5 linked regions of the Oryctolagus cuniculus genome follow. The protein of the gene in region 3 purifies or fractionates together with the protein of the main gene of each other region. This does not show direct contact. Links are inferred from orthologs where the notes say so. Each region holds a gene or a part of one and is shown on either strand. Other genes may lie near its edges. The genes, in order: AP1B1, AP1G2, AP1S2, AP1M1 and AP2B1.

Region 1 (3,511 bases), on a different chromosome or scaffold from region 3:
GGAGGCTTTTGTGGGTGACCTGGCAGGGCTGAGCTGGAAGCTCCCTAGAAAGGTGCCTTCCTGCTCGCGGCAGGCTCAGGGGGACCCCTGGCGCAGCATCCCCATCAGAGCCGCCCCCGGCTGGGGCGCCTGGTAGGCACGGGGCGCTCACCGTGAGGTTGGGGTTGCCGGGCTGTATGCGCAGCTCGGCCAGCACCCAGATGCCATTGGTCAGCCTCAGGGACTGGTAGAGCATGTCCTGGGCCTCCACGTTCCGCTTGGCGATGGTGAAGACGTTGCTGCTCTGCAGCCTGCTGCTCACGGCCTCTGTGAGGTCGGGAGGACCCGAGAGGACCCAGTCAGAGGGCAGTGGCCCAGGGCCAGCCAAGGCCCAGCCAGGGCTCAAGGTCGGGCTGGGGGGTTCTCACCCGCATTGAGGGGGCAGTCTCTGATCTGGAACTGGGCTTCGTTCTCATTGGGGATATCTTTCCATGTGGCCAGGAACATCTGCCGGTCTGGAAGGTGAGGGGGACCCTCATAAACCCGTGGCCCCTCAACCACCTGGAACAGGCCATGGGCCTGTGTCCAGTGTGCCGCCTGAAATTCAGGACGGGCACCAGCGCCCGCACAGCCCCAAGCCGAGCACACCCTCAGTTCTGTGAGGAGGCCCGAGAGCTGCTCCCGAGGGACCCTGGGCTTCCTGCCGCCCACCTCCACCCCACCACATGCCGGCCTCCTGCCCGGGCAGGGCAGCCTGTCAGTCACACCTGCCTCATGGGGCTTCCTCCTGGGTCAAGTGAGAGACAATCCCGGCAGCCCAGGGCATGGCTAAGGCCTCTGGGTACAAAAGCAGTGAGTGCCAGTCACGGGACATGACCTGGGGTCCCTGCCACCCCTGGGACAAGGCTGAGAGCAGGCAGGAGAGCCTGCAAGTGAGATGACCCTGTGTGGCACAGCCCACCTGCTGGCCAGGCATGCCCCTTGGGACAGGCTTCGCAAGGACCCAGTCAAGGGGCAGGCGAAACCATCCAGGCCTTGGGCAAGCGCCAGCTGGGCCAGGTTCCTAAGCCCTGGCCCCTGCTTGGGGCCTTCACGACTCACCCATTTTCCCGTCCTCCACAAAGAGGATGTGCAGAGGGTACAAGGTGCTGAAGTAGAAGACGTCTATGTTGTTCTTCACGGCCACCTAGGCAGAGGCGCCCGTCAGCCCCAGGCAGGACGTCCCTCCCGGCACCCATGCCCCTTTGCCACGGCGGGGGGGGGACCCACCTGGAGGTTGTTCAGGGGCTCCATCTTCATGACCGAGCCCACCGTGTTAAGAGGCAGCGAGATCTCCACAGTCTGGTTGGGGCTCAGTGGTGCGTGGACCTGGAGGGGGGCGGCGGGGGCCAGGCCAAAGCTAGGGAGAGAGAAGCCCCCGCAGGCACAGCTGGGCAGCAGGTGCTGACCGGGCACAGGTGGGCTCCTCCCCAAGCTGCCTCAGCCGAGCTGCAGTCCTGGGGCAGGACAGGCTCACGAGCTCCCAGGCCCCTCAGTGGCTGTGGCACAGGAGGAAAGGGCCCCAGGCTGCAGGCTCTGCCCAGCCCAGCCCAGCGCTGGCCGACGCTGGCCTGGGGGGCACTGGGCAGCCTCAGACAAGCAAGGCCCTGCCTGTCCTCCCTCCACAAGCTCTTCCTCCTACCAACAGCCTGTGGCAAAGCTCTGTGGCTGCCCAAGTCTCTGCTGCCCACACCCACTCCCTAGGAAGGATGTGAACCCCATCGGGCACTGGGATTTACTGTCTAGGGCAGCACTGGCCAGGTCACATGATGGCCAGTTTCAGGAAAGCCCTGCTTCTCTACGGCAGCACATAAGCAAATGGGGAGACTCAGATCCTTGTCAGACACAGCATGGACTGGGGGCTCCATCCGCCCAGGCTGGCATTTGACTTGATACCAATTCCCAAGCTCAGGAAACAGAGACAGGCACACATCGCCTCATCTTCCAGGTGAAGATGGTGTACCTCAAGGAGGGCCAGGTCCACGTCTGCTCTACAGGTGAGTGACAGTGCTGAGTCAGAGCTCGAGCTGCCTGCCTGGGACACAGCGGGAGAAGCAGCGGGCGACCCAGGCCCGCGCAGTGGCCCCGCACTACAGGCTTTCCTGGGAGCTCCGCCACTGCCTGCTGCGTGACCTGGGGCAACCTACCTGCCCTGAGCCCAGAGGTAATGGCCCTGACTTGACGGGCTGTCACCTGCTTCAAGTGAGACAATACCCCCAGAGCCCTGGGCACAGTGTTCCAGCCAGCAGGTTTTTCTGAGTGACCAGCCTGGAGCATGTCTGTGGCCGACAGGGTCTGTTGAGCGGAAGGGGAGGAGCTGCCCCAGCCTCCCTGTCTGCCGGAGGGTGGGGGTGTCCCTGGCCACGGCTCCCCGAGGAAGCAGCCCCTTCAGTCAACTTCTTAGAGGCTCAGTTTGCTCATCACTGGAGCCGCTCAGGAAGAGGGATCATCAGGAGGGGCTGCTTGGTCTCCAGAGCCCTGGCCTGACCCACGGTGGTACAGACAGGTAGCCTTCCTGTCACTCGCTGTGCGGGGACCTGGCAGGGCTGACGGCCTGGAGCAGGGCTCACCCCTGAGGCCCTGCCTGCAGGGGCAGGCTCACTGGGGGACAGACCCTCCTGACAGGTGGGGTGTTTGCCAAGGGCCAGCTCCTGGGCTGCCACTGGGGAAACACTCTCCCCACTCTTTCTGGGACTGCAGAGTCCACGAAAGTGGCCATGGAGGGAAGAGAGTTCCGGCCTGTAGGGTGGTGAGCAATGCCACCCGCTCCAGCTCCCCGGGGCCCTCAGCCCCTGCCTGCAGGTGGCTGGCCTCGGGAGCTTACCTGTTGCGGTTGAACTGGATTGCAAAGTCGGTCATGACCTGTAGGGCCTTGTTGGTGAGCTGCAGGTCCATGGAGATGGCGCCCACCTGGCGTGTGAAGGTGCCCGAGATCTCCAGCCCCTTAGCCTTCATGGCCGGGAGCCAGACCTGCAAGAAGGGGGAGGGGGGTGGCTGGCATGTGCCAGGTCCTGGCCCAGACACAAGGGCCCACCCCAGGGTCCCTTTTCTTTCTCTCCTGGAGGGGCCTCCCAGACTGAGCACCCTGCTTTGCTTCCTAGGGGTTGACCACTGACCTCAGGGGAGGAGAATGAGCCCGTGGCCTCGCACTGAGCAGCTCGCGCTGCAAAGGTGCTGGGCGTGCTCAAGGGCTGCTCTGAGAGTCGAGGTCAGAGAGGAAAATGGTCAGAAAAGGATATGGGGGAAGTGGGCTGAGGAGACGACCAGACAGTGTGCCCTGCCAGTCTCCGCACAAGCCAAGGACAGAGCGAAGTGCCCGGCGGCACCCCAGCTGTCACAGCCTGTACTGTGCAGGGGGCAGGGCTGGCCCAGAATCGCAGAAACTGGTCAGAGCAAGGACAGTACCTAGGAGGAGCCCTCGTGTGGCAGGCCCTCTGCTGCTTGGCTGCCCTTGTCACTCGAGTCTCAAGGGCCTCCTCCTCTGGGAAGCCTG
Region 2 (3,116 bases), on a different chromosome or scaffold from region 3:
TGAGGGCCAGTGGAGTAGTGATGGGGGTTGTGGCATGAGATGGGCGGGGCCCACAGGCCAAGGTAAAAAGACAAAAGAGAGGCGTGATAGAGTGACCCCTCCCCCTGCTGGGAAGGGGCTGGGGGACCCAGGCGTGGGAAGGGTGACGAGCCTCGGTCCCTGGCTCAGGACCAGGAGCAGCCTTCTCTGAGGCGTCTTCCCTCTGCTGCAGCTCACCTGGGGGTGCAGGTGCACAGGGAAGGTCGAGGAGGTGTACTAAGGTGCCTCCAGGGGGGGGATCCTGAGGAGGCGGGCATGGGGCCTCCCCAGAAGAGCCGTCCAGGAGGTGCAGCAGATCCAAGAGCTTGGAGGCCTGGGCCAAGGACGGAAGGCTCAGGGCTGGGTGTGGAGGCTCCACCCAGGCCGCCTCATCCCAGGGTTTCTGCCTCCCTCACCTGGGGCTCTGCGGGGACAGGGGCCGCGGCTTCCGAAAGCTGGGCAGCCTTGTTGCTTTCCTTTTCTTCCTCTTCAACCCGAGTGCCGCCTCGCTCCACCAGAGGCATCCTTTCAAGAATGGCAGCCCTGAGAGGTGGGAGGGTGGGTGGGTCTCTCTGGGTGGAACAGGAAGCATCTGGGGGTGGGGGCCGTGGCACAGGGCACCGTGGCACAGGGCGGGTCAGAGGGGCCTTTGTGAGTTCCTGAGACAGCGCGCTGTTGCTGGGTTTCACGTGAGCCCGGAGGGCTGGAAGCCAGCACAGCATCGGAGAGCCTCGGGGGGGCTCCCACGTGGATGGGGAAGGCCACAGGCGAGGATGAGACCCTTGGACCGAGTAAGACCGCACTGCAGCGGGCTGCCAGGCACACCTCATGTGGTCGTACTTCCGGAAGAGCGTGTTATACTCCACAGCCCGCTGCTGCAGCTCCACGTCCACGCAGCTCCCGTAGATGGACACCACCTGGCGGATGCGGCTGCGCCACAGTGCGGCACGTGAGTGGCAGTGGCAGTGAGCCCTGCCCTGTGCTCCACGCTCTGGCAGGGCCGGGAGAGGCTGCACAGAGTAAGGAGACCCCTGGGATAGCTGGCCCTAGGGACAGGGGAACAGTGGGGCCTGTGTCTGCAGGGGTGCTCAGCGAAGGGAGTCTCAAGGGCTCGGCCCCCTCCTCACTTGTTGTCCCCGCGGAACCGGGTGCTGAGCTTCATGAGGGCCGTGAGGGCGTAGGCTCTGGTGGCTGGCAGGGACAGATGGGACTGCAGCACCTTTTCCAACAGTGCCAACACCTCCTCTTCTTCCACCTTCGGGCGTGGATGAGGTAGTGAGCCTGGGCCCAGCCCTGCCCACCCTGTCCCTCTCCAGTGAACCCCCACGCAGGTCTCACCTGAAGGGGTTCAGTTTCCTCGCAGTTTCCCTCTAATAAGAGGTCCCCAAATTCCCCAATGCACCAGGCTGCCACCTGCACCAGCGGTTGCTGTGTGGGATGAGAAACACCACAGGTCAGTGTCTGGGTCAGTCCCACACTCTGCAGCCTCCCTAGGTAGTGCAGAGATAGTGGAGCTTGGCAGGGTGGGAAGAGGTGACTTTGATAGCTGGCTCTGTCCTGGTGTCCAGGCGCCCACTGCCCTCTGGTGGCCAAGCATTATAACTACATGGCCTAAACGCACTATGGTGGCAGAGGGTCCCCAGAGGAAGGGGTAGTGGTTTCGGCCCACCGGGCTTAAGGTGAAAAAGGACACTACAGATGCTGGCTGGCATCGGTTAATCACTCAGCATTCAAGGGAATAGCAACATCGAAGACGTGCAGAATGAGCTTTGATCTGATCTGATGCTCACGGCAGCTATGGGGGACAGGCAGGGTAGAAGGAACTTAAATAAAGTCCCATTAGTCATCTGTGGTTACACAGCCAGTAGGTAGCAAGGCCAGGACAGAAGCCCAGTGTTCTCACTAAAAAACAGCCCTGGCCTTGGGTGTCTCCTGCACCAAGTAGCTGCGACATGGATTGGGATGGAGGAAGCAGGTGGGCAGCCCTGGGCCTGGGAAGATGGGATCGGTACCTGGGAGATATCATTTGCCAGGGCACTGTAGAGGCGGCACACTGAGTAGGCGTGTAACTCCCGGGCCCCCCCAATCAGCTGGATCAGGTTGGCCACTGCGTCATCCCGCACATGGGTGCCTACCTGGAGGGGTGGGAGGACACAGCCAGGTCACTATGCTCAGCTCTGCCCACTCCTCCCCGCTCCCTGGCCAGCCCCCACCTCACCGTTGTCAGCACGTGCAGGATGGTGTCTATGTGCCACCGTTTGCTTGGAGCGAACCTGGGGGACATGGCTCATCAGGGCTGACCCTGCCGAGACTCGCCCCGCTCTGCTTCCCTGCACTTGTCGCCTCACCTTTCCGCAGCCAGCAGGATGCCCGAGGCACAGTCAGCCCGGAGGTCAGGCGGGCAGTACTCCAGGAAGGCCTGCAGCTCCCGAATCATGGCTCGCACATTTGAGCTATTCACCAGGGCCAAGCTCAGCTCCAGGGCCCGCCTGGAGGGAAAAAGACAAGTGCCTAAGCGGACCCTCCCCTGCTCCAGGCAGCTGTCCCTGTAATGCCCTTGCTGCAGGTGCTCTGAGTTGCTCTGGGCCCTCTCCCCTGCTGCCCTGGTGAACCCTTGCTCTCCGCTCACCGGCTGAGGGAGGCGTCGGTTTCCTGCAGACACTCCACCACCGTGGGCCGGTGCCGCTGCACGGCCCCGTGGTCGGACTGCACCAGCCGCAGCAGCGATGTCAGGGCCACATACCTGCTCGGGGTGGGGGGTGGGGGGCGGGGAGGCTCTATCATGCCATGGCCATCAGCCCGCAGCCCCGGTGAGAGGGAGGTGGATGAGGGGGCTCTGGAGGACACGGTGGCACAGCCCAGCCAGACACCTGGGTCTGTTACCTAATGTTCTTGTCACTGTTGAGCAGGAAGCGGCCAAGAATGTTGACAGCTAGGACCTAAGGGAGGCGGCGGTCAGGGGAGGAGCAACCCGCTCATTCAGGGGCAGGGACCCCGGGGCACAGGATGACGGGGTAGGAAGGAGAGACCAGTGAACAGGACCCGAGTGCCTGGCCGGGGGGCAGTAGGCGGGCCACAGTGGGACAGGCCGATACCCG
Region 3 (4,248 bases):
TTTCCCTTTTATCATTTTAGCCTGGATAATCAATCAAAACAGCAGTTATTTTAAAAATACAAAGCTTTACTGCTTTACTCTAAATATTTTTCTCCTAAATCTTTATTAATCATTATTTCTAAATGTGATCAACAAAAGTCTGACATCTCCATGTTACAAATGACCTAACAATTGACTCTTTTATTACACCTTTCTGATAAATAAAAACTATACCTTTTGTAAACAATCTTCAGATCTCGCCACTCAAGAAAGCTGCACATTTTAGGTTTCCGTGCTAAAACAGTCTGAACAAGTTCTCTTGTGATCTTTTTCTTCTCTTTGTCTGACAGTGGGACATACCATTTCTGCAGTCGAAGCTTCCCCTGACGACTAAAAAGCAGCATAAACTGCATCTGTTAAGACAAGTAAAGTAAAGATCACATGCGGTACTTTGACTCAATACGGTTAATACATGTTTTTCAGAGGAACCTGTGAGAGCAGGGCATTAAACTGACAATTAGCAGCTATCATTATTTTTATGTCACTTGAAATAGCAGGAAATTCTTTTAGAAAGATCTTTCTGCTAGATACAACCCTTCCCTTCCCATCTCACTCTGTTCCACATAAGTTTGGAGAGGAATGGGTGGGAAAAAAAAGAAAAAACAGGTATATTGCAGTGAAATTTTTGAACAAAAAGCTGTCCCTTGTAATTTAGAAACTATTTTCTACCTGTGCTCATACAGTCCACACTCCCTATATGCATCAAAAGAGAACTGTAGATATCAATTGGTTTAGGTACATTTGAAAGAAACAGGCAATCTACTATTTTTCAGCCCAAGGCTTTTCTAGTCCCAGGGTGAATTACTTGTAGACTTTGAATGCTCTCTTCCATTTATGCTAGCATATTTTAAAAAAAACAGAATGAGCTAAAATATTCACCAAAAAAGAGGATCTCACAAATACATGTTTTTCTTAATAAGATCCTGATCTTAAAGTATCTGTTTTCATCTCATTTTTAAAAACATAAATATGCACATAATTAAGAGTCAGGTTAATGTAATATTATGAAAATCAAATCTTTAAAATGTCAAAATAATAATTAGATATATTCAGGGGCATTATATGAAATATTACATTTAAAACAATAAAAAACAGCATCTACAGATGGATTGGATACTGAATTCTAGTGTTTTTAACACCTAACCTAATTTGTGTGTATTTATTTGGAACCTGCAAATCTGTTGATTAGTCTGAATGTTCTGTTAAAGGCAAGCTTATGGTAAGTCAACTGGTCATCAACTGCAAACAGTATTATTTCTACAAGATAATGTAAAGATAGAATTCAGATACGTATTCTGTTTTCTTTTAAGCATGGCAAAGAAGATTCAAGCCTGATTCTTAAAACTCACACCATCTTGAACATGGGGAGAGAGAATTTATACAATCAATATAGAATAAAATGAGCCCTAAATTTCTATATGAAATTATTTGATATGAAATTAAAATAATGCAAAAAGACATCAACCAGATACTTGGCAATTTACGACATGACAATTTTAACTTTATTAAACTTAAGGCTTATTACCGCTCGTAACATGCTTCAGTGGCACAAAATACACGGACATTACTCAGGGATATCAAAGTGCCTCCATGTAAGTTGCAAAATCAGCGGCATTCGAAAAGGGGGCAGCAAGCGAAGCATCAACTGGACATTTAAAGCAAACCCGTTACCAGAACTTGGAAGAGAATGAACCTCGTATTCCTTGATCTCGGTGGCCAGGAGGGGCGGGGGTTTGCTTGCCAAAAAGAGTCTGGGTTCAAGGCTGTCGGGAGCAGGGTCCTGTATCTGCCCTACCACTTTACAAGAAGAAAACACAACGTATTCTCTCAAAATAAATTATGTACTAACATGGGACGAAATCCGGTTGCAAGGCACAAGTATCCTGTCTTATTAAACACGAATGCTTTGATTGTGCCGCAAATCACAGGGTACCACAATTCTGGGAAACGGGCATTTAAAAACAATGGGCTCAGCCTCGGAGCGAGCTCGGGACCAGCTTTCCTTGGGTCCCGCCGTCTCCGATGCCTCCCCCCCTTCCGGGGCTACACTCCATCACTGACCAAGCCTGAGCGAGGTGACAGGCAAGGAGCGGAGCAGACAATGGCATCCGCCGCCGCGCAGGGGGGCGCCAAGAGTTCTCGGCCGCCGCCGTCCCCGGCCGCCAGCCCCTCCCTAAAACGCCCCGCAAAACTTGAGACGATTCCCGAACCACAGGTGCCGCGGCGCCCCGGCGGAGCCCCGGACTAGACCCCGCATTCCCAGGCGCCGCGCAGTGGTTTGCGGGGGGCCGACGTGGAAAGAAGTGAGTTGTGGGGCGCGGCGCCCAGGTGGCGGGCCGGCGGGCTCGGGGTGGGGTCGTCGGAGCGCGCGCGGGGCGGCGGGGGGCGCGCCCAGCCATCCCTCCCCCTCCCCATCCCCATCCCCAGCGTCCCCACTCGCCCTCGGGACTTACGGCAGCCGCGGGCCGCGGGTGCGGCTGGGCTCGGCCGGCAGCGGCGGCGGCTGAGGGGAAACCCCTGTCGCCGCGGCGAGTAGGAGACGCCGTGTTGCTGTGGGGAGGGGACCCAGTTGTCGGAAAGCAGGCTTAGGCGGCGAGGGGAGGGCGAGCCAACAGACTCCGCCCCAGGGGCCGGACGAGGGAGGAGCTGGGGCTGCGGCTAGCGGAGAGGCGGGCTGGACGACGCGCGGGAAGCGGCCCAACGGCAGCCAACGGCACCCGGAGGCGGCGCAGGCGACCGCGTAGTCCGACGAAACCGATTGGCCGCGTCGTCACCGAGAGGAGTGGTGCGAACCGGAAGTTGGGCCACGTGACCCGGAAGCGGCCTCGGCAGCAGCCAGCGCGCCTGCGTACTCAGGCTCGTGCCTTCGGGACGCGAGCGGGTGGCTGCCTTGGCTCTTTTGGTGACGGGAGGACGTGGTTCCGCGGCGACCTTAGGCGACCCTGTGGTTCGAGGCAGAGAAGGTTCTGAACGCGAAGAGCCAAGTTCGAGCTCCGATGACTCTCCGTGTCCCAAGAGGGTGGGATAGGGAGGTGTGACGGCCGGTGATGATGGTGGGAGGAGAAAGGGAGTGCTGCAACTCTGGGGAAAGCAAGGCAGCTCTTTCGCGGAGCCCTTGCATGCGTTCACAGGGCCTTTTGCTAGGTAGACGGCCTCTCCTTCCCATCGCAGTGCTACAGCCCTAGCCCAGACACTTTTTACCACAAGCTTCGCACCCTGGGCTTGCCTCGCCCATCTTCAGGGCTGCGGACTGGATGAGTTATGTCCTCAGCTGAAAAGCCCAGACACCACTTCGTCTTCGAGATCCCGCTTGCTTCACACGGGATCGCTCCCACCAGCCGCCTGGGTTTAGCCTGGCCAACGACTTGCTCTGCCTGACATGCCCTTCCTCTCAAATGTCACAAGTATGAAGCGTCACCCTAAAACCCTGTAAGAACGAATACGTTTTTCACCAACATGTCCATTAGTCTGTATTTAGCACGTCTTGGATTTATTCATTTTGCATTCCAACTTAGTTCACTGCTTGGTGTGTAACACAAGTTGGCTGGTAAAGACTGAAATGAATGATAGATTTGTTAAGGGCCGTGATGCTGAGCACACTGCTGGGCACGTAATCAGTGTTCATACTTGGTGTTTGAATGATGGAATGAATGAATCATCTAGTCCAACTCATCTTTTATAGATAAGGAAAGGGGAGCCCCACGGGATTAGGTGACCTTGCTTGAACAGCCACGGGTTTCCCATGTCGAATGCTATTCATTACTCCAGTCAACTGGGTTCCTACAAAGGAAGCTAGAAAATTGCTTTTGTTGGGCCATGCCCTTTTTGCAGAGGTTTGTAAAACGTAGTTGTCAGATTTTTTTTAATGGCCCAAAGTAAAAATCGCAAATTTTTTCCATGAAAGTAAATTCAGTCAACTTGAAGGAACCCTTTATTAGAGATCATGTTATCTGTGCAAGGGAAGAGAGGGTTATTACAATAAACATGAAACTAAGATACTAAATAGCGGTTTGGAGGCATTTGAAAATGCCCTTGTTTGGCAAAATAAAAAATGTAATGCTTCTCCATTTCTGCATTACTGTGCCACTTGGAAAGTTCCCTGGTGACATGTATGATTAATGTATACTGGAATATTACAAAGGGGTCGACAAAAACCACAGAGCTAGCTTTCTATAGTTCTTTAGGCCCCCTGCCCAAATTTCTCCCTGC
Region 4 (4,174 bases), on a different chromosome or scaffold from region 3:
ATTGCCACAGACACCTGAAACAGAAGTAGCACTTCCGGTGAGCTGGTTCAGGAGCAGCACTTCCGGTGAACAGCAGAAACCACTTCGGTGAGCTGCAGCAGTAGCATCACTTCCGGTGAGCCCGGAGCACCCGCAGCACTCTTCTTCCAGGCGCCTCTAATGGGTGTCCAGTGCCAAGGCAGACATTGCTAATCGATCGCGACGTTCCTCACCGTGGAAACCTTGGAGCACTGGTCCCTGAGTGGGCACGCGTGTGCTGTGATGCGGCGGCCGCGATGTTGGGAAAAACAGTGTCCGGGGGCCGCGCCGGGGCGGGGGCTGTCTGTGTAAAAGCCGCAGAATAAAGCAAAAGCGTCACTGAAGAGGAGTCTGGGCGTCTGATTGCCTGAGCCATAGCGGCCGGAGATGACTCCTGCCCTCTGTGCCGCGGGCTGGGTGCCCAGCGGGGAGCGCCTGACAGGCACCCAGCCCACCTGCTCATCCGGCGGGCCGGAGCGAAACCAGGGTCTCAGGGGAACGGCGGGAGGGCGCGGACCCAGCAGGAAGCAGTGTCCCGGGTAGCACTGGGATGCACCTGGCGCAGCAGGTAAAGCCTCCGCCCGCAGTGCTGGCATCACACAGGGGCGCCGGTTCGAGTCCCGGCTGCTCCATTTCTGATCCAGCTCTCTGCTGTGGCCTGGGAAAGCAGTACAAGACGGCCCAGGTCCTTGGACCCCTGCACCTGCGTGGGAAACCCGGATGGAGCTCCTGGCTTCGATTTGGCTCTGCTCCGGCCGTTGCGGCCATCTGGGGAGTGAACCAGCAGATGGAAGACCTCCCCCCACCCCCGTAACTCTGTCTTTAAAATAAATAAAATTTTTTCTAAAAACATTTCAGCTGAAGAATGCAGACACGCCGTTGGTTATGACCCGACCAGGGCCGCTAAAAATGTAGCAGGAAAGCACACGTGCCCAGCAGTGGCTTGCGGTTTTTCACGAGGGCATTCCGAGCAGTAAACCGCGGGCTGGCGCGGTGACCCACGTGGACACTGACAGGTGGCCGGAGGAGGCGGGAGGCCAGAGCTTGACCTCTGCACAGAGAAGCACCGCCTTCGCCCTGCCCTAGGACGCGTCACCCCTGGTGGCTGTGTGTAGGCTACGCTCCCCGGCCAGGCCGAGCTCCACGGGTCTGGACCCGCCCGGCTTCACCAGAGCGCCGCGGCCGGCCGGAGTCGCCCCGATTCCGCCGGCCCCGCCCCCCGCGCCCCACTTCCGGCCGCTCGAGGAGCGCAGCGAGAAATACGGTCTTCCCGGGCGTACTGCGCCTGCGCCTAGCCCTCCCGCACCTGCGCAGACCTGGCCGCCCCGCCCCCCTCGCCCTCAGCCCGGACATAACGGTCCGCGCGCGGCGCTCCGGGCCGGAAGTGGAGGGGAACCGTCGCCGGGCGCGCCCGGCCTCGCCCCACGCCCGGCCGTGCCCGCCGCCGCCGCCCTCGGTTGCCGCCGAGGCCTCCCGCAGCCGCCATGTCCGCCAGCGCTGTGTACGTGCTGGACCTGAAGGGCAAGGTACTGAGCGCTCCCCACCCAGCCTCCCCGCTGCCGAGTAACCGGCGGGGGCCTCGCCCTGTTAGGTAAACGACCCGTGGACCCCACCCAGCGGTAGGCGAGGCGGCCGGGCGGCCCCACCCGAGGGTCCCCCACCCAGCAGGGCGGGGGTCTCCAGTCCGCGAGGCCCGCCCTGCTGCCAGGTGGCGAGGTGGGCTGCCGCCTCCGCCGTTGCCAGGTAACGGGCGACGCCGCCCCTCCCCTGCACCCCACCCACCCCCACCGCCGCGTGCCCGCTGGCGATTCGGGCCGGGGTCTCGGGCCTCCGCGGCGGGGAGGGCGGGCCGCAGCCGGCCCCCGGCGTGGGAGGGGTGGGTGGACGGCGCGACCCTTGGCCGGAGGTGGCCAGGCGTGGCGGGGGGTGGTGGACAGCGTGCGCTCGCGGCCGGTCCCGCCTTCTCCCGGGCGCCGCCACCCCGTGGGAACCGCTGACGTCATCGTGACACTGAGTGAGGTTAGGGTTAAGGTGGCGTGGGCGGTGGACAGAGTGGGGAAACCGAGGCACGGAGTGGGCCCGGCGTTTGCAGGGGGCCCAGCAGCCGGGAGGGGCAGGTGTCCTGTGTCCTGGGTTCGGTGCCCGCCTCCGTCCACGCAGAGCCTGGGAGGCCCGGGTCGCTGGGGCCCCGCCACGCGCCTGGCGGGCCCGGGTCCGGTGCTCTGTTTGCAGCTGCAGCCGCCGCCAGGCGCCCTTCCTCTGGGCATCTGGGGGAGCCAACCAGCCGATCGCTGTGTTTGTCTCTTTCTGTGCCTTGCAGACAAAACCAGAAAAAGTTTATTTGGGTGCAAAAAAAATGTTTTTAATCGGTGCATAGGTTTTTTTTTTTTTTTCTCATAAACTTTTCCCTCGTGCGCATAGATTTCGGGGGGAAAATTGCCTCCAATTTTTTTTAACTTATTTGTTTCAAAGGCAGAGTTACAGAAAGAGAGGGAGAGAGAGAGAGGTCTTCCATCCGCTGGTTCACTCCCCAGTTGGCCTCATCGGCTGGAGCTGTGCCGATCTAGAGCCAGGAGCCAGGAGCTACTTCCGGGTCTCCCACGCAGGTGCAGGGGCCCAAGCACTTGGCCCATCTTCCACTGCTTTCCCAGGCCAGAGCAGAGAGCTGGATGGGAAGAGGAGCAGCTGGGACTAGAACCGGCCCTCATATGGGATGGCAGTGCTGCAGGCGGCGGTTTTACCCGCTCTGCCACTGCGCCGGCCCCAGCCCTGATTCCATTGCCCGTGACCTCTGAGAAGCCCCCTCATCAGGGCGGCAGGGGCTTCCCTGGGGGAGGGGCCAGGTGTGGCCGAGACCCAGGCATGTTTCCCAGGGGCCTGTGAGAGCAGCGCTGGCCAGGCCACCTCCCCACATGGGAGCCAGAACTGGGAGAGGCGCGGGTGCCGCCTGAGCCCGGGAGCAGGTGAGCGCGGCCGCCCCTTCCTGCTCCACCCGGCGCCCTCCCCAAGTCCCTGGCCCTCTGCTTGCTTTGGAAGCCACCCAAGAGCTGCAGCTCACGAGGCCGCCTGCAGGGCTTCTGAGCCCGGCCAGACCCGGGAAGCGGGAAAGACGACTTCCCCGAAGCTGCCCGGCTCCTTCCGCCAACGTGTCGGAGCCTCTCGCGCGACCCCAGCCTGTGGCCAGGTACAGGGTGGCCACGGGCCAGGCACAGGGTGGCCACAGTGCTGCCGCTGGCCGCGGCTGTGCACAGTGCCCGGGGAAGCTCAGGCCCCATGGGGGCTCAGCTCTGCCACCCTGTGCAGGGGAGCACTGGGGAGGAGGCGCTTCCCTCTCTGGGCCTCGCCTTTCCCTCCCCAGAGGCTTTGACAGGGCTGGCGTGGTGAGGTCAGGAGATACCGGCCCCACAGGCCCGGGACAAGGTCCTGGCAGTGCAGCTGGGGAAGGGGGAGGCGGGTGCCCCAGTGGGCTGAACGAGGTGACCAGGCGGCAGGTGGAAAGGAGGCGTCCGGTGGGCCGCAGGGCGGGACGCACACACACACACACACACACACACACACCCCCGCCAGCCCTCCGCAGCCGGGACGCCCCATATCAGAGGTTTCGAAAGTCTGCCTCCTGCACTGAAGTGTTTGCTCAGAAGTAAGGCAACAGCGCCTTGAGCAATCCGTGCCAGCCGCGGGCGCCCCGTGGGTGGGCAGAAGCTCTCCCCGGGCACCTGTCCACCTGCGGCCCAGAGCCCCTTCCCGCCTCTTCTGCTCTCGCCCGTTGACTGTTGGGTTCCGAGGGGGTGGGGCCCAGTCGTGTCTCCCCACAGTGCCCCTCTTCCCAGGCCCACATCCAGACAGCTTATCTGGAGAGCCACTGGCCTCCAGGGTGCTGAGTGGTCCCTGCCATGCCCAGACTTGCTGTCCCTTCTGTGTCCACGCTGGAGCCCCGGTGTTACTCTGGCCTTCTCCTCCCCACCCACATGGCCGCTGCACAGATGTTTCCTGGGCACCCGCCGCGGGCCAGGCTGTGTCCTGGGTGCTGGGGCACAGCTGTGAGAGACCCCAGAGCAGCCGCTGTTCTCAGGGAACCTCAGACAAATGAGGACACAGATGTGTGTATAGCCTGGCAGAGGGGACAGGCAGGGAGGACTTCCTGGAGGAGGTGCCG
Region 5 (4,047 bases), on a different chromosome or scaffold from region 3:
TTTTCTAGCCCCTCCTTTTTTTTTTTTTTTTTAAGGAAATTTATTTATTTGAAAGACAGAGGTCTTCCATCTCTGGTTCATTCCCCAAATGGCCACAATGGCCAGAGCTGAACCAATCCGAAGCCAGGAGCCCGGAGCTTCTTCCTGGTCTCCCACGTGGGTGCAGGGGTCATCCTCTGCTGCCTTCCCAGGTACGCTAGCAGGGAGTTGGATGGGAAGTGGAGCAGCCAGGACTTTAGCTGACGCCCATATGGGATGCCAGCACTGCAGCCTGGGGTTTTAATCTGCTGCGCCATAGTGCCAGCCCCTATTTTTCCAGCCTTTTTGCATATGCAGTCATGTCGCAGGTATTGTTTTGTGTACTTTTTAAGCTTAACCGTTTTATCAAGATTTTCTTGCATTATAAAATATTCTTCGACAACATTATACAGTTCTCTAATTTATCACAAATGTTTAATTTCCAACTTCTCCTATGTTAATAACAGCATAATAATACATAAGTGTTATATGAAGTCTTTATATACTTCAAATTACTTCCTGCAGAATGAAACTTCAAAATATTTTATTTTGATACTCCCAGAATTGATGGGCAAAAATTTGGAAGAAAAAACCCCAACCCTCTCTCTTCTCCCTCACACCCTCACATAAACCTTAGGGAGAGCCTGGTTCGCTGACAGTTTCCTGCGCCCTCGTCAACTTTTTCCTCCAGTTTTAGATCTTAGAATCTAGGGCGTAGTTCCCGAAAGCGCCTTACTTTTGTGTTAGTAGGTCTACTACATTCTCAGCATAGTGCTTCTTTATCTCATTTAAGCTTCACAAGACAAGAAGACTAAGGTTATTAAACTACTTTCCCAGTCGCACCGGGGCAGGGAATTGAACTCACGAACTCACATGATGCCGCCTCAACCTCTTTTCCTCGCATCACTGCCTATGAGTTCTGGGCTGGATCACTGTTGTTTTCTGCTGGACCGCCTGCCAGGGAAATTAGCCGATGTTTTAATTTTTTTTTAATAGAAGGGAACAGGATACTTCAATTCCTTGCGAGGAAACAATTCCAGCGAATTTCAGCTTGTTTAATATATCCCTTGGAATAGCCATTAACCATCCTCTGAGGCCCAGGTCTCCAAGCCTTGCCTGAACCAAGGCTGGGTGGGGGAGGGGAGGGCAGGACGCTTTTTCGTCTCCAAGGTAACGGGTCGCCGCCTTTCTGGTTCTCCCGCGCACTCCGACTACGTCACGCGGCGAGGTTCTCTGACGTCAGGGTTTCCGGCCCACCATCTTTGTCGCTGGCAAAGTGGGTTTTGCGCAGTGGCTTAGACCTAGAGAAAGAATCGTGACGGGCAGGAAACCATTACAACACCACCCGGGCTGTGCTCTCTGGCTGCTCCCGCCACCCCCGCCCTTGCCTCCGGTGAGTTCAAGGCAGCTGACTCTGGGGTGTGTGTTCCTTAATTGATTGGGGTGGGGGAGAGGGAGGAGATCCACAGGCTGAGTCGAAGGCGAGCGGAGGCGAGGAAATCTTAGGAGCGTGACCGTTGAGGGTGGAGGCAGCCGTCGGGTGTGACCGTTGTGAGGAAAAGGCTTGGAGGAGAGGTCTCCGCCGCGGTGGCTGTGGTGGGCTGAGGGAATCCTCGGGGGTGGCAGCTCGAGGTGCGTGGGGGGAGGTCTGTTTCCAAGTCGGGGTTCGCACGGGCCAGAGGCCAGGGGTGTGGCCGGAGGCCGAGGGGAGAACCTTCCTTCTTCCCCCTTCGCCGACGTGCATTGAGAGGCTGGGACGTGTCCAGCGAGCGAAAGGCAAGAGGGATTCCCCCGAAGCTTTGCCCGTTAATGGACACACCTCGCGCGTCTCCGTAACTTGAGGCTGGGGACACCTCTCCCTTATCTCGTAATGGAGGCCTCCCACCTGGAAGCAGAAGAGCCATTCCTGACACTTTTAGGGAAACCTCCGGAATCGGCCCGATGTGAGAGGGGAAGCGGTACATTCTCTGCTCGGATTTTTTTTTTTTTTTCTTTTCTGGATTTAGCAGGAACAGTCTGGCTTGGGGAAGGCTGCAGACGAAGGCAGAAGTTCAGAAATTGGAACTTCCTGTTATTTTCATACTCTCTGAATCCAAAGATTTTAAGCTGCTGGGTTGTTTTCATAGCAGGGGAGGCCAGGCTGTTCCTGTGCTCGCTCGGCCGCTTCATTATGAAGTGTGGATGTTTCGTAAAACTTTGACCTTTCAGAAAATACGCCTTTTTTTTTTTAACTGTCAAACTCCGTTACCACATAGTATTGTGGTTTAAAAGCAAAAGTAAAGAAATACGCTCGGAAAGGCAGAATGACTAAGAAGGAAGGTGGTCTTAATGAGGAACGGTTAGTTCCCGCCCGGTGTAGGTCCGCAGCGTAGCCTCGGGGTGCACTCACACAGTAATAATAGAAGGCAGCAGGTGAAGGAGGTGCAGGTAACACGTTGTAAGGATGACTAAGCCTGGTGGGGAGGTGAGAAGCCTTCGCAGGTAGCTTAGCAGTTGGAAGTCCCCAGGGGAGCAGACAGGCGCCTGTGTTCTGCCAACAGCCTTGCCCACGTTGAGTGGCAAAATGGATGTAAAGCTCACTCGTTCTCTTTGAGTCCGGGACGTTCAGGTCTCTCATCCTTGTTTGTCTTCCCCTTTAAGGCCCATATTGTGAAGTAGTATGTCTCAGGTGCGGGTTTGAACCAAGGACAGGTTCTCCATTCCTTCTTCCCTTCCTCCCAGGCTTACATTTTCCGGGCTTATGATATTTCAGTTAAGAATTGGAGGTCAAACTTTGAGCTTTCTTTCTGTGTATTACTGTATTAACTTTGCAGTTTCTTGTATTTAAATAGAAATCACAGGTGATTTTGGCTTTTCAGGGTTTGATAATTTCTTATGAGCCAAATGATATTTAAAGATACTGTTGTCTTTTCACTGTTGTTGAATATTTAATTAGAAATGGAAACAGCACCTCTCCCGTTATTTTTATTAAAAAAAAGATTATTGGAATGACCTTTCTGCTTTATAATTCTGTTAATTTGGGCCAGTTTTTCACTTTGAACCTTAAATGTGTGAATCTCAAATTTATGTGAAAAGAAGGGCTTAGTGAGTTCATCAGCTCTAATTTGGCCACCATTTCCCAGAGAGCCGTTTAAAATTAAGATCCTATTAATTTTTTTCTGCCCTTATTTTACCCAAGCTATTAATCTTACGTCAGTCTTTGCCTTTTGGGGAACTGAGGGGAGGAGGGAGGAATAGAAGAGGGACTTTCACAACCTGTATCTGGCAGAAACTAGGCTGTGTTAAATCTAGATACATCATCCTGTGCGGGAGGCCCTCCCGAAATGCAGGGACATCCCTCTCTGGACTGGGCCAAGTGAGAGTGATTATGCGCTCTGACCCTGGAGCTTTGTTGTTCAACAGTGGCCCTGGGCCGACCCTAAGTCTTCAGAATGTCCAGTGACTTGTCTGATTTAATCTGGTAGAAAGATGATGTGGGCTTAAATTCCATCATGGCTTTGCTTATTTCTGGAGCTCTCCAGAGAAATAGTTTTGTTTTTGTGGCAGGAATTTGACTTTTTAAGGCACATCAGCAAATACTTGCTTGTTTGTTTTTGTTTCTTGAACTCCATCTTGTCTACTTTTCTGTGACCTCCTATACAGACTTCAGTTTTCACCATCCTGAATTTTAGAGAATCTTGGCTATGTCCATATTTATCAAATGATTAACTATATCTCATCTAAAACACAACTTTTTTAAGGTGAAATTTGCATAACATAAAATTAATCATTTTATAGTGAACAGTGGCACTTTTGGTACATTCACAGAATGGTGCAACGACCACCTCTTCCCATTTGTTTTTGTTGAGACTGTTTTCATTTTTATTTCTTTTTTAAAATTAATTAATTTATTTTAAAGTCAGAATTACAGAGGGAGAAGGAGAGAGACAGAGAGTGAGATCTTCGATCTGCTTGTTCACTCCTCAAATGGACACAACAGCCAGGGCTGGGCCAGGCTGAAGCCAGGAGCCAGGAGCTTCATCTGAGTCT

What was found.
Region 1: the proteins of AP1S2 (region 3) and AP1B1 purify together in Homo sapiens (affinity purification with mass spectrometry; 5 studies listed by BioGRID and IntAct, counting the BioPlex papers as one, with this or other methods). This does not show direct contact. The link is inferred for Oryctolagus cuniculus from reciprocal best matches to the Homo sapiens genes AP1S2 and AP1B1.
Region 2: the proteins of AP1S2 (region 3) and AP1G2 purify together in Homo sapiens (affinity purification with mass spectrometry; 3 studies listed by BioGRID and IntAct, counting the BioPlex papers as one, with this or other methods). This does not show direct contact. The link is inferred for Oryctolagus cuniculus from reciprocal best matches to the Homo sapiens genes AP1S2 and AP1G2.
Region 4: the proteins of AP1S2 (region 3) and AP1M1 fractionate together in Homo sapiens (co-fractionation; 6 studies listed by BioGRID and IntAct, counting the BioPlex papers as one, with this or other methods). This does not show direct contact. The link is inferred for Oryctolagus cuniculus from reciprocal best matches to the Homo sapiens genes AP1S2 and AP1M1.
Region 5: the proteins of AP1S2 (region 3) and AP2B1 purify together in Homo sapiens (affinity purification with mass spectrometry; 3 studies listed by BioGRID and IntAct, counting the BioPlex papers as one, with this or other methods). This does not show direct contact. The link is inferred for Oryctolagus cuniculus from reciprocal best matches to the Homo sapiens genes AP1S2 and AP2B1.

Annotation. Positions count from the first base shown.
Region 1 is NC_091452.1:22,748,430-22,751,940, forward strand, and holds part of AP1B1 (AP-1 complex subunit beta-1), read right to left. Parts: intron 2,989-3,511; coding exon 2,843-2,988; intron 2,489-2,842; exon of another isoform or gene 2,392-2,488; intron 1,379-2,391; coding exon 1,249-1,378; intron 1,166-1,248; coding exon 1,081-1,165; intron 495-1,080; coding exon 408-494; intron 307-407; coding exon 152-306; intron 1-151. UniProt on the Homo sapiens protein: Subunit of clathrin-associated adaptor protein complex 1 that plays a role in protein sorting in the late-Golgi/trans-Golgi network (TGN) and/or endosomes.
Region 2 is NC_091443.1:51,513,817-51,516,932, reverse strand, and holds part of AP1G2 (AP-1 complex subunit gamma-like 2), read right to left. Parts: coding exon 3,114-3,116; intron 2,958-3,113; coding exon 2,902-2,957; intron 2,762-2,901; coding exon 2,648-2,761; intron 2,508-2,647; coding exon 2,367-2,507; intron 2,292-2,366; coding exon 2,237-2,291; intron 2,154-2,236; coding exon 2,031-2,153; intron 1,447-2,030; coding exon 1,357-1,446; intron 1,274-1,356; coding exon 1,146-1,273; intron 949-1,145; coding exon 844-948; intron 562-843; coding exon 435-561; intron 353-434; coding exon 217-352; intron 1-216.
Region 3 is NC_091453.1:1,997,424-2,001,671, forward strand, and holds the start of AP1S2 (AP-1 complex subunit sigma-2), read right to left. Parts: upstream 2,809-4,248; 5' UTR 2,493-2,808; intron 2,343-2,492; exon of another isoform or gene 2,225-2,342; intron 393-2,224; coding exon 214-392; intron 1-213. UniProt on the Homo sapiens protein: Subunit of clathrin-associated adaptor protein complex 1 that plays a role in protein sorting in the late-Golgi/trans-Golgi network (TGN) and/or endosomes.
Region 4 is NC_091447.1:64,728,566-64,732,739, forward strand, and holds the start of AP1M1 (AP-1 complex subunit mu-1), read left to right. Parts: upstream 1-1,372; 5' UTR 1,373-1,502; coding exon 1,503-1,544; intron 1,545-4,174. UniProt on the Homo sapiens protein: Subunit of clathrin-associated adaptor protein complex 1 that plays a role in protein sorting in the trans-Golgi network (TGN) and endosomes.
Region 5 is NC_091448.1:39,031,368-39,035,414, reverse strand, and holds the start of AP2B1 (AP-2 complex subunit beta), read left to right. Parts: upstream 1-1,240; 5' UTR 1,241-1,411; exon of another isoform or gene 1,412-1,650; intron 1,651-1,657; exon of another isoform or gene 1,658-1,976; intron 1,977-4,047. UniProt on the Homo sapiens protein: Component of the adaptor protein complex 2 (AP-2). Adaptor protein complexes function in protein transport via transport vesicles in different membrane traffic pathways.